Linked DNA regions of Struthio camelus. The protein of the gene in region 1 purifies or fractionates together with the protein of each later gene. This does not show direct contact. Links are inferred from orthologs where the notes say so. Each region holds a gene or a part of one and is shown on either strand. Other genes may lie near its edges.

Region 1 (7,185 bases):
TCTCTCCCCTCCAGCGTGGGATAGCCGGGGTTGGGGGGGGGCATCCCACCCAGCACAGGGTTGGTGGCACGGTCACCTTGTCACACCAGTGCCACTGGGTGTCCCCGTCCCCTGCTCTGCAGGACGCACATCCTCCCCCACAGCCAGCCCCAAGTGCAGAGCCACCATCCTCAAGGCACTGGGACCAGTATGGAGCTGCCAGGACCAGTCTGAGGGGCCCTGAGACCAGTCCAGGGGGCTGTGAGAGACACTGGGACCACTCTGGTGGCCCTGCGACCAGTCCAGGGGACTTGGGGGGGGGCTCATCCAGAGGGTTGTGGGGACAGTCGGGGGGGGGGGGCAAGGTGGGCAGTCGAGGGGGGGCACCGGGGGCATCAGGGGGTGCCAGGCATATCAGGGGGTGGCGGGGGGCAGTCTAGAGCCACGGGGGGCAGTTGGGGGGCACAGTCGGCAGTCGGGGGGCACCAGGGGGCTGTCGGGGGGTGCCGGGGGGGCAGTCGGGGGACAGCCAGGGGGCACCGGGGGTATCGGGGGTGGTGGGTGGCAGTCAGGGGGCACCAGGGGGTATCGGGGTGGCGAGGGGCAGCTGGTCGGCAGTCGGGGGGTCTCAGGGGGTGGTGGGGAGCAGTCAGGGGGCACCAGGGGGTATCGGGGGCGGCAGGGGGCAGGCAGGGGATGGCGGGGGGCAGTCGGGAAGCAGTCGGGAAGTATCAGGGAGCGGTGGGGGGGTATTGGGGGTATTGGGAGGCAGTTGGGGGGTATCAGGGAGCAATTGGGGGGTATCGGGGGACAGTTGGGGGTATCAGGGGACAGTTAGGGGGTATCAGGGGCAGCTGGGGGGCAGTCAGGGGACACCAGGAGGTATCAGGGGGTGGCAGGGGGCAGTCGGGGGTATCTGGGGGTATTGGGGGCAGTGGGGGGCAGTCGGAGGGTATTGGGGGACAATTGGGGGGTATCGGGGGCAGTCGGGGGGTATTGGGATTGGCGGGGGCAGTCGGAGGGTATCGGGGGCAGTTGGGGGGTATCGGGGGGCAGTCAGGGGGTATCAGGGGTATTGGGGGGTGGCAGGGACAGTTGGGGGGTATCGGGGGTCAGTCGGGGGTATCGGGGGCAGTCAGGGAGGTATTGGGGTATCGAGGGGGCAGTTGGGGGTATTGGGGGGCAGTCAGAGGGTATCGGGGGGCAGTGGGAGGGTATTGGGGGAAGTCGGGGGTATGGGGGGGCAGTCGGGGGTATCGGGGTCAGTCAGAGGGTATCGGGGAGCAGTGGGAGGGTATTGGGGGCAGTCGGGGGTATGGGGGGGCAGTCGGGGGTATCGGGGGGCAGTGGGGGGGTATCGGGGGGGGGGGTTACCTTGCCCGGGGCGCCCCTCCTGGGAGCGCATGCGGATCCAGTGGTCGGAGATGTTGAGGATGACGAGGGGGTGCAGGGCCACCGAGACGCTGCCCGTCACCCCCGCTGCCATCACCGAGGGGGCCGCTGCGGGGGCACCGCGTCAGGGGGCTGGGGGCGGGGCCGAGGGGGGCTGGGGGCGGGGCCGAGGATGGTGGGGGCGGGGCCGAGGGGGGCTGGGGGCGGGGCCGAGTGGGCTTCTGGCCCCTGGGGATTTTTTTTTGTGTGTGTGTGGGGGGGAAATGCACGACTTGTGGGCGTGGCTATAGGATCTAGGGCGGGGCCGTTGGGGGTGGAGGGGCGGGGCCAGGGCCTGGGGGCGGGGCCAGGGCGATAGGGCCCTCCCAGGTGAGACACACACCCCTCCCTTCCCCCCCCCAAAAAAGGGCAGGGCCAGGGGAATCGGGGCGGGGCCAAGGGGATTGGGGCGGAGCCAAAGGGACTGGGAGGGGGTCAAATGGATTGGGGCGTGGCCAAAGGGGGTTGGGGCGGGGCCAAGGCGGGTTTGGGCATGGCCAGTGGGGGGATTGGGGCGGGGCCAAGGGGGGTTGAGGCGGGGCCAGAGGGGGCAGTGGGCGGGGCCTCAGGGGTGGGACCCGCGCCGGACCCGCAACGCCCGGGGGCGTGTCTAGAGTCGTGGGGGCGGGGCCAAGACCCGGGGCGGGTGCGGGGTGAAGCCGGCGCCGAGGCGGCCCCCGGCGCCAGGCCCGGGAGCCCGGTTGAAGCCCCCGCGGGCGGTACCTGCTGCGTCCACCTCCATGCCGCCGGTCCCGTTGCTCCCGGCCGCGGAGGAAGAGGCGCCGGCCGCCGCCATCTTGGCTCGGCGTGTCCCCGCCCGGCCGCCGTACTCAGCGCCTCTGCGCATGCGCAGAGGGCGTGGGCGTTGGCTGCGGGGGGGCGAAGCGGGCGCGCATGCGCCGCGGAGAAACGCGGGAGTGTCGGCGGGCGCGCATGCGCTGTCGGCGGGAAGGCGGGCGGAGGGAGGGGGCTGGTCACGTGCCCTGCCCCCCCCCCCGCCCCGGTTGTCCTCATGTCCCACATGTCCATGGTGTCCCCGTCCCCAGGTGTCCCCTTCCCCAGGTGTCCCCAGGCTGAACATCTCCATGGTGTCCCCATCCCCAGGGTTTCCCCAGGCCCCCACATCTCCATGGTGTCCCCATCCCCAGGACATCCTCGGCCCCAGGTGTCCCCATCCCCGGGCTGACCCCAGGCCTCCACATCTCCATGATGTCTCCATCCCCAGGTGTCCCCATCCCCGGGGTGTCCCCAAGCCCCACATCTCCACTGCGTCCCCGTCCCCAGGCCCCCACATCTCCATGGTGTCCCCATCCCCAGGTGTCCCCATCCCCAGGACGTCCTTGGGCCCCCAGGTTGCCATGACGTTCTCTTCTCCAGGAGGTCCCCGTCCCTAGGCGTCCCTGTGCCCAGGGTGTCCCCAGGCCCCATGTCACCATGACATCCCCATCCCCAGGATGTCCCCCTCCCCAGGTGTCCCCAGGCCCCATGTCACCATGACATCCTCGTCCCCAGGTGTCCCCATCCCCAGGTTGTCCCCAGGCCCCACATCTCCACGGTGTCCCCATCCCCAAGTGTCCCTGTGCCCAGGACGTCCCCAGGCCCCATGTCCTCCCAAGATGTCCCCGTCCCCAGGGCCACTCCCATCCCCAGGCCCCACGTCCCCCCAAGACATCCCCATCCCCAGGGCCACTCCCATCCCCAGGCCCCGTGTCCCCCCAAGACGTCCCCATCCCCACATGCCCCCCTCCCCGTGCCCGTCCCCGTGCCCGTCCCCACGGCGTCCCCGTTCTCCCGGATGTGGCGCGCCGGCACTTCTCCTTCGGGTGGCAGGAAGCCACCGAGCAGCCGGGAGTTTCAGGGGCAGCTCTGGGCCCCGTTTGGCCCCTCGTCACCACCCGGGGGGGCTCCGCCGGTGCCAGGTGAGTGCTGGGACCGGGGTGGGCAGCCTCCCAGTGCCTCCCAGTCCCACCCAGTCCAGCCTGGTCCCTCCCAGCACCTCCCAGTCCTTCCCAGCGCCCCTCCAGGCCAGCCCCTTGCTGCCCTTCCCGCCCAGTCCAACCTCGTTCCTCCCACCCAGGCCTTTCCCAATGTCTCTCAGTTCAACCCACTGCCTCCCAGTCCAACCTAAATCCTCCCCAGCGCCTCCCAGTTCAACCCAGTGCCTCTCACTCCACCCTAGTTTCTCCCAGACCCTTTCCGGTACCCCCCCCCAGACCAACCCTGAGCCTTGCGGTCCCCTCCCACTGCTCCCAGCCCAACCTAAATCCTCCCCAGTGCCTCCCAGTTCAACCCAGTGCCTCCCACTCCACCCTAGTTTCTCCCAGACCCTTTCCGGTGCCCCCCCCCGGATCTCATGGTCCCCTCTTAATGCCTCCCAGTTCAACCCAGTGCCTCTCACTCCACCCTAGTTCCTCCTAGACCCTTTCCGGTGCCCCCCCAGACCAATCCTGAGCCTTGCGGTCCCCTCCTACTGCCTCCCAGCCCAACCTAAATCCTCCCCAGTGCCTCCCAGTTCAACCCAGTGCTCCCCAGTTTCCACCTACCAGGCTTGCGTCAGGAGCTTGGCCCCAAAAGCACCCCGGGAGCAGCCACTCTGGACCCCACCAGGCACCCGGCGTGGGGAGGGAGCACGGTGAGTCCCCGGGACAAGGGGGACAGGGTGCGGGGGGTCCCCAGGGTGGGGGGTCCCTCCCAGGGGGGTCAGGGCAGGGAGCCAGGAGGCCCCCTGCAGACCTCCCAAACTCCCCGATCACCCCAAACACCCCGGGGACCCCCCCAGCTCCACAGCTGGGAGCCCCTTGGGACCCCAAATACCCTAGAGATCCCCTCAGGGACCCCCAAATATCCCAGGGATCCTCCCAAATACCCTAAGGACCCCCCAAACACCTCTGAGACCCCCTCAGGGCCTCCCCAAATACCTCAGAGCCCCTCCAGATACCCCCAAATGACTCTGAGACCTCTCAGGGACTCCCACATACCCCTGGGATCCCCCTAAATACCCCCAAACACCCCCGAGACCCCCTCAGGAAGCCTCCAAATGCCTCCGAGACCCCCCTCAGGGACCCCCAAATACCTCAGAGCCCCCCCCAAGTACCCCTAAGTGCCTCTGAGACCCCCTCAGGGATCCCCAAATACCCCAGGGTCCCCCCAAACGCCTCTGAGACCCCCTCAGGGACCCCCAAATACCCCAGGGACCCCCCCAAACACCTCCAAACACTTCTGAGACCCCCTCAGGGATCCCCAAATACCCCAGAGACCCCTCCAAACACCTCTGAGACCCCTCAGGGACCCCCAAATATCCCAGAGCCCCCCAGATACCCCCGAGTGCCTCTGAGACCCCCTCAGGGATCCCCAAATACCCCAGAGACCCCCCCAAACACCTCTGAGAACCCTCAGGGACCCCCAAATACCTCAGAGCCCCCCCAAATACCCCCAAACACCCCAAGACCCCCTCAGGGACCCCCAAATACCCCCCAAACACCCCCAAGACCCCCTCAGGGACCCCCAGAGACCACCCCCAAACACCTCCGAGACCCCCTCAGGGATCCCCAAATACCCCAGAGACCCCCCCCAAACACCTCTGAGACCCCTCAAGGACCCCCAAATACCCCAGAGCCCCCCAGATACCCCTAAGTGCCTCTGAGACCCCCTCAGGGATCCCCAAATACCCCAGGGTCCCCCCAAACGCCTCTAAGACCCCCTCAGGGACCCCCAAATACCCCAGAGCCCCCCCAGATACCCCCGAGTGCCTCTGAGACCCCCTCAGGGACCCCCAAATACCTCAGAGCCCCCCCAAATACCCCCAAACACCCCCAGACCCCCTCAGGGACCCCCAAATACCCCCCAAACACCCCCAAGACCCCCTCAGGGACCCCCAGAGACCACCCCCAAACACCTCCGAGACCCCTCCCCAACTCCTACCAACCCCCCTCAACCAGGCTCCCGGGCAGGTCGGACCCCCCCCCCCAAAAAAAACAAACAAACCAACCCCCCCATCCCATCCCATCCCCAGGCCCCCGCCGCCACGGCCATCCTGGAGCCGCCGGGCCCGAGCGGGCCGGCGCCTTGCGCCAACTGCACGGCGGGCGCCAACCCGGCCTTCGCCGCCCTCTACGGCCTCATCTTCGCCCTGGGCCTGGGGCTGAACGGGGCGGCGCTGGCGTTGCTGGGCCGGGGCGGGCGGCCGGCGGCCCCGACGGCCACCTACCTGCGCAACCTGGCCGCCTGCGACCTGCTGCTGGTGGCGTCGCTGCCGGCCCGCGTGGCCCATTACGCCGGCCGGGCGGCTCTGCCGCGAGCCGCGTGCGAGCTGCTGGGTTGGTTGCTGCTGGTCAACATGTACGGCAGCATCTTCCTGCTGACGGGCCTCAACGGCGACCGTTGGGCGGCCGTCTGCTTGCCTTTACACGCCGGCGCGGCCCGTTTCCGGCGCCGGGCGGCTCTGGTGTGCGCGGCCGCTTGGGCGCTCAGCGCTTTGGGTTGCGTGCCGGTCTACGCCGCCGGCCGGCGAGCGGCGGAGGAGGCGACGACGGCGGCGGAGGCGACGCGCTGCTTCGACGAGCGGCCCCGCTACATCACGCAGCCGGCCGTGGCTTGGGCCATGGCGGCGGCCTTCGGCCTGCCGTTGGCCGTCGTGGTGGGTTGCTCGTGGGCCCTGTTGCGGGCCGTGGGGCGCAGCCCGGCCGCCCGCATGGCTTTGCTGGACGGCGCCAAGGTGAGGCGCATGGTGCTCAGCCACGTGGCCATCTTCTTGGCGTGCTTCATGCCTTTCCACGCCGTCCTGCTCTGCTACCAGCTACGCGCCGCCCCAGGGCCGGCCCTCGACCAAGCCTACCGCTGCACCCTGCTCCTCGCCTGCACCAACGCCGTCCTCGACCCTCTCGCCTACTACTTCGCCGCCGAGTCCTTCCCGCGCTCCGTCGCGACGCCCGTCACCTCCCCGCGACCGGCCCGGGCAGCTCAGGCCACCACCGCCGCTGCCACGGTGCTTGCCGGTTCCTCCACCCCGAAGACGCCGGCGACCTGGGGTTTCCGGTGTTGGCGGTGAATAAAAGGGGATGTGTCGCAATGGTTTTTCCCCCCCTGCCCCACCCCACGCCACCACCAACCACCGCTGGGTTTGGCGTGGTTGGGGACAGGAAGGGACGGCGATGGGGGACAGATGGGGACTGGGTTGGGGGACAGGAGGGGACGGCGATGGGGGACAGATGGGGACCAGGATCGGGGACAGGAAGGGACCACGATGGAGGAGAAGAGGGGACCATGATGGGGGAAAGCAGTGGACAGGGATGGGGGACAGATGGGGATCGGCATGGGGGACAGACAGGGACCAGGATGCGGGAGAGGAGGGGACCTGGATGGGGGACAGATGGGGACCTGGATGGGGGACAGACAGGGACCACGATGGAGGAGAAGAGGGGACCACAATGGGGGACAGATGGGGACCGGGATGGGGGGACAGAAGGGGATCGGCATGGGGGACAGATGGGGACAGGGATGGGGGACAGATGGGGACCTGGATGGGGGACAGGAAGGGACCACGATGGAGGAGAAGAGGGTACCCCAAGACAGATGGGGACTGGGATGGGGGACAGGGATGGGGGACAGATGGGGATCGGCATGGGGGACAGACAGGGACCAGGATGGGGGAGAGGAGGGGACGGGGATGGGTTACTGGGATGGAGGAGAAGAGGGGACTGGGATGGGAGACAGATGGGGACCGGGGTGGGGGACAGGAAGGGATGGTGATGGGGTAGAGGAGGGGACAGGGATGGG
Region 2 (7,534 bases), on another chromosome or scaffold:
CTCATGCTTTCAAAAAGGACTCAACTGGGTCTTTGCATTTGTGACTGCAATAGTGGCTACGCAATGACTAATCACTTTTAGGGACACACTCCTCTATCTACACTTCAACCTGTCCAGGGCTGGTAAATAGAAATGCTTTTAATGCACAAACCCCGTTAACGTTGCCCTATGATGGGGAGCAGTTTCTTCATTAAGTGTTAGGATATGTTACCACATCTTCCACAGACAGTGGTTTTCCTAGGCTGGTAAATTAAGATGACTGATCTGAAGCGTTTCTAAAGCTGTTGTTGGATATTGGCCGGAATAGTTAATGTCAACACTCTGAGCATCTGCCTGAAAAAAAATTAAATGTTAGCTCTGTTTGTGCTCTGTCCCTGTTCTGGAGCTGTTCTCCCAAACAGTTAAGATCAGGTATTGTAGAAGCAGCAAATTAAGAGCAAATATCAGAGAGGAATTCAACAGAGAGATTCTGAAGCTGAACATTAGTTTGGCAAGATCTGGAATCTTGCAAATGCTTAACACTGCAGCTCAAATCTGACTTTTTTTTTTTTTTAAACAAAAAGGGCGGGAGTGTGAATGATCCTACAGATCTAGCTCTACAGTGACAGAAATGATTGTGCTAAAATTAGAATAAAGATTGATTAAAAATCGCAAGGAACTCCCCACTAATTTGAAAACAGACAAATAGCTGCACTGGTTTCGTGTCAGAACACACTGTCCTTTGGAGCATGATTATTACGTTCTTTGTTGCTGATTATTATGGGAACATTTCAGAACGCTTAGGACAGGTCTTATCTGATTATAGCATCTAGGCATCACTGAAATACCCACATGTACTACTAATAACAAGGTACCAGGAGAATGTAAGTACATGCTAGACATTGAAACGTGAGGAACCTGAGAGGTATCCTGCTATTCAAACTGGGCACAAACAGCGCCTGTCCAGGGAGGTTTCCCATCCATAGATGGTGGAAGAAGGGCTTGTTATTTAAGCACCTGTAGATTTGTGGAATCTGGGCTCTGCAGTTTGGATCCTGAGCTTGAGCCAAGTTGTCTCTGTGTGAAATGTGTGCCTGCCTGCCAGGTATAAATAAGCCTTTGAGGCTCGCTGCTCAAATGGAAGTGTATTTTGTTATAAACTCAGAGCTGCCTTTCTAAGGGGGTCCGTCTGAGATACCAGTGTTCAACAGAGCCTCTTCTTCCTCAGCGGTAATAGGAAGGAGTTGCTCTCCAGCCCCTGCCACCCATTGCATGTATCCCCGCGATGGGAGTTGCTCTACTGGATTGTCCTCTCTCTGGCCTGCTGCCCCAGAGAGGGTATTCTCCTCTCTGCAACCAGCTTCACAACAAAGCTGCCTCTCATGGGGAAGCGCTGGGAGGCTGGGAAGAAACCTCTCCCATTCTGGAGTCCTTCTTGCGCTACAGTCCTGGACACCAAGTCTAAGCTTGTTGCTGCTGGGAATCCAAAACTGAAAGTAACTTATCCTTCCCCTCCCTCCCCACCCCCGCAAAAGATAGCCGCTTTCTCTTTCTTGCTTCAGGTTTCCCTTTTCACTGTTGAAATTTTCTTGCAAAGGGGCAGTACATGGAGCACGAGTGGGATTTGCTTACCTTGGCAGAGGTCCGCATTTGGATTCTCTTCCATTTTCTTGCTCTCTTGGAGTCCTGGGCTCTGCACTGTTCTGTTTCACTTTCCGACTTGGTCATAAGGAGACTTGTCTCCCTGCCGCTTGAGTGGCCGAGCAAGTCCTACCCCTGCACGCAGACACCATCCCTTCAGGGCCTCAGGAATTGCAACTAACCACCAGTAAAACTGATAAGCACAAGCGCAGAAGCTGTGATTGAGTGGAAGAGGAGGCTGCTCCCTCCCTGTCTGTACTTATCAAGCTGCTTGGGTGATGTGAAAATGGATGGATGTGCCCAGGCGCATTTCCAATAATGCATGACACGAGCGCTTGAGCCCAAACAATAGTAACTATTTCACCTGCCCAGCAGGCTACAAACAGTCCAGGGGCTGCACCAGTTTTGCAGAGCTGTCCTGGGACAAGCCAGCACGCCCGGGCAGGGGTTTCTTATCCAGCCGGGCAGCCGCAGCCATGCTGTGCCGCCTCCGAGACTGCAGGCCTCGAGGCTGCGGCTCTGCAGGCTCTTACATGCAATTGGAGACACCCGGTATCCTGCACAACGCAGCTGCATCGACACAGAGCAAAGCCCTAGCTTTATTATGATATTAATAATTACTTTTTAATGTTAATTAATGGATATTAATAAACTGGGAGCTGCGGGCCGACTCTCCTACACCATCCGCAGCGATAGTCCCTCCCGCAGCAGAAGCACCGTGGGAGCAGGCAGCCGCCCGCAGCAGGTAGCTAGTATTACTGGCATAGCCGAAGACAGCGAAGCTGTGTTTTCAAGACCACTCGGAAACCTCCAGACAGGGAGTCTTAGAGGAAACGGGCACTGTGGAAGCAGACTTCTCTGGTGCCCGCGTTTCCCCATCAATACAGACTCCAGCCCATAGGTTTCATGAGCGCAACGCCTGCCCGACCACCAGCCAGCAAGGGTGAGCAGCAGGGAGCAGGTACAACGCACGAGAAACTTTCCCTGCCAGGGACCAGTTCCTGCAGATTTACGTGAAATACAAGACCTCAATATCCGATCTTTACAGCAGCTCTCCTAGCCGAAGGGGGCACCTTCTGCCACCCGATGCTGTCTCTATAACCGGGTTTTCTTGCTGCCTATGAGGCTGGGGGGGGATATAATTGCTGCTGGGCTCGCGTCCCTCCCGTCCCCTCCCCGCGCTGGGTCCCCGCAGTGACGCTGGCAGAAGAAGGAAGTCGGAGGAGCAAAGTCTCTGCTGGAGTCAGCGCTTACCCGTGCAGGTTTGGAGCCGGTCCAGGTGGCGAAGCCAAGCAGAGGGGCTGCAAGAGGCGGCTGGTGACAGCACCGTAGCGTGCGCGCGCCCTTCCCGGAGGCCTGGTGGCCCCGCGGTTGGCAGGACAGCCCGTTCCCCAGCCGTGCACTCTTAATCCTCCGCTGTCAACGTGACAGTGAACTCTGCCCTTCCCCGGTGCCCAGGCAGGCTGCTGGGAGCTGTAGTTTTCCTTCTTTCCCTCCGAAGACGGCTGGCTTTTCCTTAATGAGCAATAACTAGATCAGCAAGGGCATTGCGCCAAGGAGTATTTAGGAAAAGGTCACTTTTTTTTTTTTTTTTGGCTGTATTTCTGAAACTCTGCAGTTGCACGCAGTTTCCTTCAGGCCAACCGAATGACTAGCTTCTTTCCATGTTAGGTAACAGTGTTGCAGATTTAAATAAATCGCAGCAGGGAGAGAAATTGTTTTGAGAGATGATTTAGGAAGACTGAAGTATTACAAAATGCCCCAAATGTAGCCAACAACCCTCAGACTCTGGAAAAGTCACCTTCTGGGAGTGCAGGGAGGCTGGGGCATTCCCGTGAAAGGGAGCGTGTTGAGCACCCGCCTGGAGGGGAACCAGGCGCGGGGATGTGCCCGGCACCTCAGCAGGCAGAAGAGCCCAGAGCGAGCCTGTGCAGCTGCTCCTGGCCTTGCTGGGGCAATGATTTTCAAAAGACATTATAATTGGCCTCACTGTGTCCGCACAAGGGACAGACGCTTTCTGCCCCCTGCCACCCGATACCCTGCTGGGGGGCATTTCAAGGGGACTGGTGGCGTGGAGCAGGGCACAGTGGGGTGGAAAGGCATCCGGTGCGAGGAACAGCTATGCAGAGACTGGAGCCCTCCTCTGAGCCCGCAACCTTTTTACCAGCACCCCAGGGGAGCCCAGTGACAAACTGCTGAAACAAAGTACAGAGAAAGGCAACCGAAATAGTACAGGTATGGAGCAGAGAGTAAACGGCTGGGGCTCTTCCATTTGGAAAGCAGAGAGGGGATTTGATTGATGCTGAGTTGTTACTCACCAGGTCCCTCAGTAAGAGAACGTGGGGCACTTGATAAAACAGGTAGGAGGTCAGGTTCAAGTGGGCAGAAAAAAAAAATACAGATGCAGAAAATGTAGAAACTTTCAGATTTTGTTGCTACAGAAGGCTGTGGAGGCAGAGTGTCAGCAGGTTCAAAAAAAGGATTGGACTAATTCATGGACAGCAGGTCCACCAGCAGTTAATGCAGGACTGGGCAGGGATGTACCTGGCAATGAGAGATGCCATTTAGGTGGAGCATGTGAGCTGGGTGCCGCTCTGTGGTCGCTTTCCTCACACTCCCCCCGCATCCCGAACCATTGTACTGGGGGTGTTACAGCCAAAAAGAGGTCAACTGGGCCATTGGGCCTGCCGGATGGCCTGCTCCCTCTTTCCAAAGGCCTCCATGACCTGTCCCCCTGCCTGTGCCTGCTTTTGTGTCCGTCCCTCAACCTATTGTAATTGCTCGGTTACGGGACAGACATGCACGTGTGCCATGCTACACAAACGGTTAAGTGTGTATATGCGTATCAACACCCATGCTGGTCATAGCAGAAAGGTGGTACCTTATTTTAAGATGTGTGCATGGGCACAAGATTGTACAGATTTTATGACAGAAACAAATCTGCTTGCATGATGTGGACTAATACTTCTAAGATACATGCTGATTTAGGCTGGATAGAGAATAGATGGGCTTCTTCATGGTCAGTATGGATCTCCCTGTTTTCCTACCTCCTGTAGCAGTAGCAAGATTGCACCTGCTCTCCAGCAGTGAAGAAAGGCAGGCAGCTTCCTCGGGGAACTGCAGAGCCACCCTGTTGATAGTGGCTGGGAGGGGACAGAGTCCACCTCCTTTCTTGGCAGATTCAGCAAATTCTTTTATCACGGCCAACCCCTCACAGGTTGCAGTAGAGGACTATAAATCCAGGGAGGTTGGCGAAGCAGGAAGCAACAGTCTCCGTGGCTTATCTACAGAGAGCTCTCCTAGCATCATAGCTGCCGGATAGTCCCAAGATCAGGCTGTGAGTAGATCAACACCTTCCTGAGGGTCCTGGTCTTTGCTGCTGTCCACCTTGCACGCCTGGCCAAAGATACGTTTGACTTGATCTGCTTCGAGCCATAAGTAAGAAATAGGAAAGGTGGTCAAAGTGGACAGGAGCTGCAGGGGACCTCAGGAAAAGGCAGGGAGATTATTCAAAGGAGAGAGCAAGAGGAGAAAGTTGGTAACGTTTGCAGATGTGTGAGGACGCTTCATCCAGGTCACTGATGAAGCTGTTGAACGCTGTCACTCCCTGCCTCCACCTCTGGGCTTGCTGCTTGCTGCTGCCTGGATGTTGAGCCCCCCGATTACTAACCCTCTATGCATTATAGATTACTAAAACTGATGGTGGCACTGCACCCGCCAAGGACCGTGAGTCAGGACAAAGTCAGGCACTAGTGTAAGCCTTTGCAGACTTCACGCTTCGTTACTGAAAAGCATTTTGGCAAGAGAATTAGCTACGACAAAACTGTTTTGGCACTATCCAGGATCACACAGCTATTACAAAAAAGCATGTTGACATTGTGTAATGTTGCTTTTTCCCTTTTAGCGTTCATGCCCTTGCATTTCAGCTGGCATACAGAACTCTGACTTAACAAATCTGATCCTTTTTTAACCCAAGTCTGATGAGGAGTTTTCTTTAAAGAGGAATAGTCTCCCCTCTCAGTCTGCAGGAGGACGAACGGTAATCATAAATCAACTGGATTATAGAGAACATGCTTTCGAGTCCTATTTTTCTTTACCTAATGTCATTGTTTACATAATGTAACCATTTAGTTCTGTTCTTTGGAAACCTGTGAATAAAGCGGTACTTCTTCTAACTTCATTTCCAGCAGGTCACCTGCCTGATCAGAAACGATGAGTCAGTCATCCGGCAGCTCTTTTTTCTACTCGGGTTTGAATCAGAACGAGCAGTGCCGTTGTACTTTGAAACCTCCTTCCTAATGAGGTTATTTATCACACCCTCTTCTGAGTTTTTGCTTTCGGAAACATTGCTCTGCCTCTGCATTCAGCTTCCACACCTGGAGAGAAGGGCGGTATTTACTGGTACGCGCCAAGGTGCCCGTTAATTTGTCCGGCAAATACCGCCTTGCCTCCAAACGAGACGGGTGCCGTGTGCCGCGGGCTCTCGCACCCGCCCGCTCGGGCTCGAAGGGCGCCCGCAGCCGGGGCGGCCAGGGCCGGTGGGGCCCCCGCGGCCTTTACCAGGCCCGAGGCACCGAGGCCGCCGCCGCCTGAGGCGGGCAGGCAGGCGGGAGGCCGGGCCAAGGGGGCCGGCCCGGCGCGCTGGGCTCTCCTTCATTTTTTTCACTTGGGGGCAGCGTGGGGCGCCGGGACGGCCGCCGCCTTTCCCGTCGGAAGCGGGGGCGGACGGGCGGGCTCCGGCGGCCGCTGCCGCCGCCTCAGCGGCGCGAGGAGGGGGAGGGCAGAGAGGAAAGGGCGGGAAGGGCGCGCGGCCATGCCGGGGGTCGGGGCGCCGCTGTACCACGTGACACCGCGGCGCTCCATCCGCCCGCCGGCCCCGCCGAATGGCGGCGCGGCGGAAGCGGCGGCCGCCGGCACCGCCCCGCGGCGGGAAGTGAGGTTCGCGGCGACGCCCCCTCCGCGGGAAGGCGGCAGCTTCGGTCCGGAGCGGAGCGGAGCGGCGGCGGCGGGCGGCCGGGGCAGGGGACGGCGGCGTCGGCGGCTCCGTGGGGCGGCGGCGGCGGCGGCGGCGGCGGGGAGGATGGTGGGGGATAGCGGCGGGCAGGCTCCGCCGGACGCCACCGAGCTGAAGCGCAGGCGGAAGAGCCCCCGGTTGTCGGGCGCGGGAGGAGCGGCGCAGGCGGAGGAGGCCGAGGCCGAGCCCGGTCCCGGAGGCGCTGCGGCGGGTGAGCGGCGCGGGCGGGCGCGCGCAGCGCTGGGCGCCCCGCGGTGGGTCCCGCGGTTGAGGGGGCGGGGAGGCGGCGCGAAGCGGGGCGGGCGGGCGGGCGGCCGAGGGACCAGCTCGGGTTTGCTGCGCGTTTAATATGTTTTTCGTTTTAGCGAACGAGCATCCCTTTGGAAGTCCCGATTCCTTGACCCGGCCCCCTATTAGAGCATGTAGATCGGCAGGTAAGTTGTGATTTCTCACCCGGAGAAGTTGCTGCGTTCGCCGCTTTGCGCTGCAAAGATACTGAGGCGCGCAAGGCCTGAGGAAGCGTCGGTTGTTGGTTTTTGGCTCCTTTGCTGGTCTCACCGCTGTTGTGGTGTACAGGTGAGGAAATCCAGCTTCTGCTTTGATTTGATACGTGTGCTACATGCTCCTCGGTCTTTCAAAGTGATCGGTGCGTGTAGAGCGCTCCGAAGCCCTTGGAGGACGGTTTTAGCCGGTGCGTGACTTGGAACAGTGTTTAGTCGGGGGTTAAAATTGGGGATGGGTGATTTTACTAAAGCTGCTTTGTTTCAAAAGCCTGAATTAAAAGAAGATGTCTTGAGTTGCAAAAACAGGTCATGGTAAGACTTCCCCATCCAACGTGCAACACTGCTTTTGAGGAAGTGCCTAATTGGGCTTGTCGGTCCTTTCTCTGAAGCACCAAGC

The links.
Region 2: the proteins of COPS6 (region 1) and torsin-1A-interacting protein 2 purify together in Homo sapiens (affinity purification with mass spectrometry, with the first as the bait; 3 studies listed by BioGRID). This does not show direct contact. The link is inferred for Struthio camelus from reciprocal best matches to the Homo sapiens genes COPS6 and TOR1AIP2.

What each region holds. Positions count from the first base shown.
Region 1 is NC_090978.1:609,707-616,891, forward strand, and holds the start of COPS6 (COP9 signalosome complex subunit 6), read right to left. Parts: upstream 3,381-7,185; 5' UTR 3,330-3,380; coding exon of another isoform or gene 3,206-3,329; 5' UTR 3,187-3,205; intron 2,349-3,186; 5' UTR 2,258-2,348; coding exon 2,134-2,257; intron 1,480-2,133; coding exon 1,354-1,479; intron 1-1,353. Other genes in the region: lysophosphatidic acid receptor 5-like, read left to right, coding at 3,206-3,329, 3,957-4,042, 5,423-6,457. UniProt on the Homo sapiens protein: Component of the COP9 signalosome complex (CSN), a complex involved in various cellular and developmental processes.
Region 2 is NC_090949.1:6,529,008-6,536,541, forward strand, and holds the start of torsin-1A-interacting protein 2, read right to left. Parts: upstream 3,070-7,534; 5' UTR 2,875-3,069; intron 1,756-2,874; 5' UTR 1,646-1,755; coding exon 1,612-1,645; intron 1-1,611. Other genes in the region: torsin-1A-interacting protein 1, read left to right, coding at 6,701-6,845, 7,000-7,068. UniProt on the Homo sapiens protein: Required for endoplasmic reticulum integrity. Regulates the distribution of TOR1A between the endoplasmic reticulum and the nuclear envelope as well as induces TOR1A, TOR1B and TOR3A ATPase activity.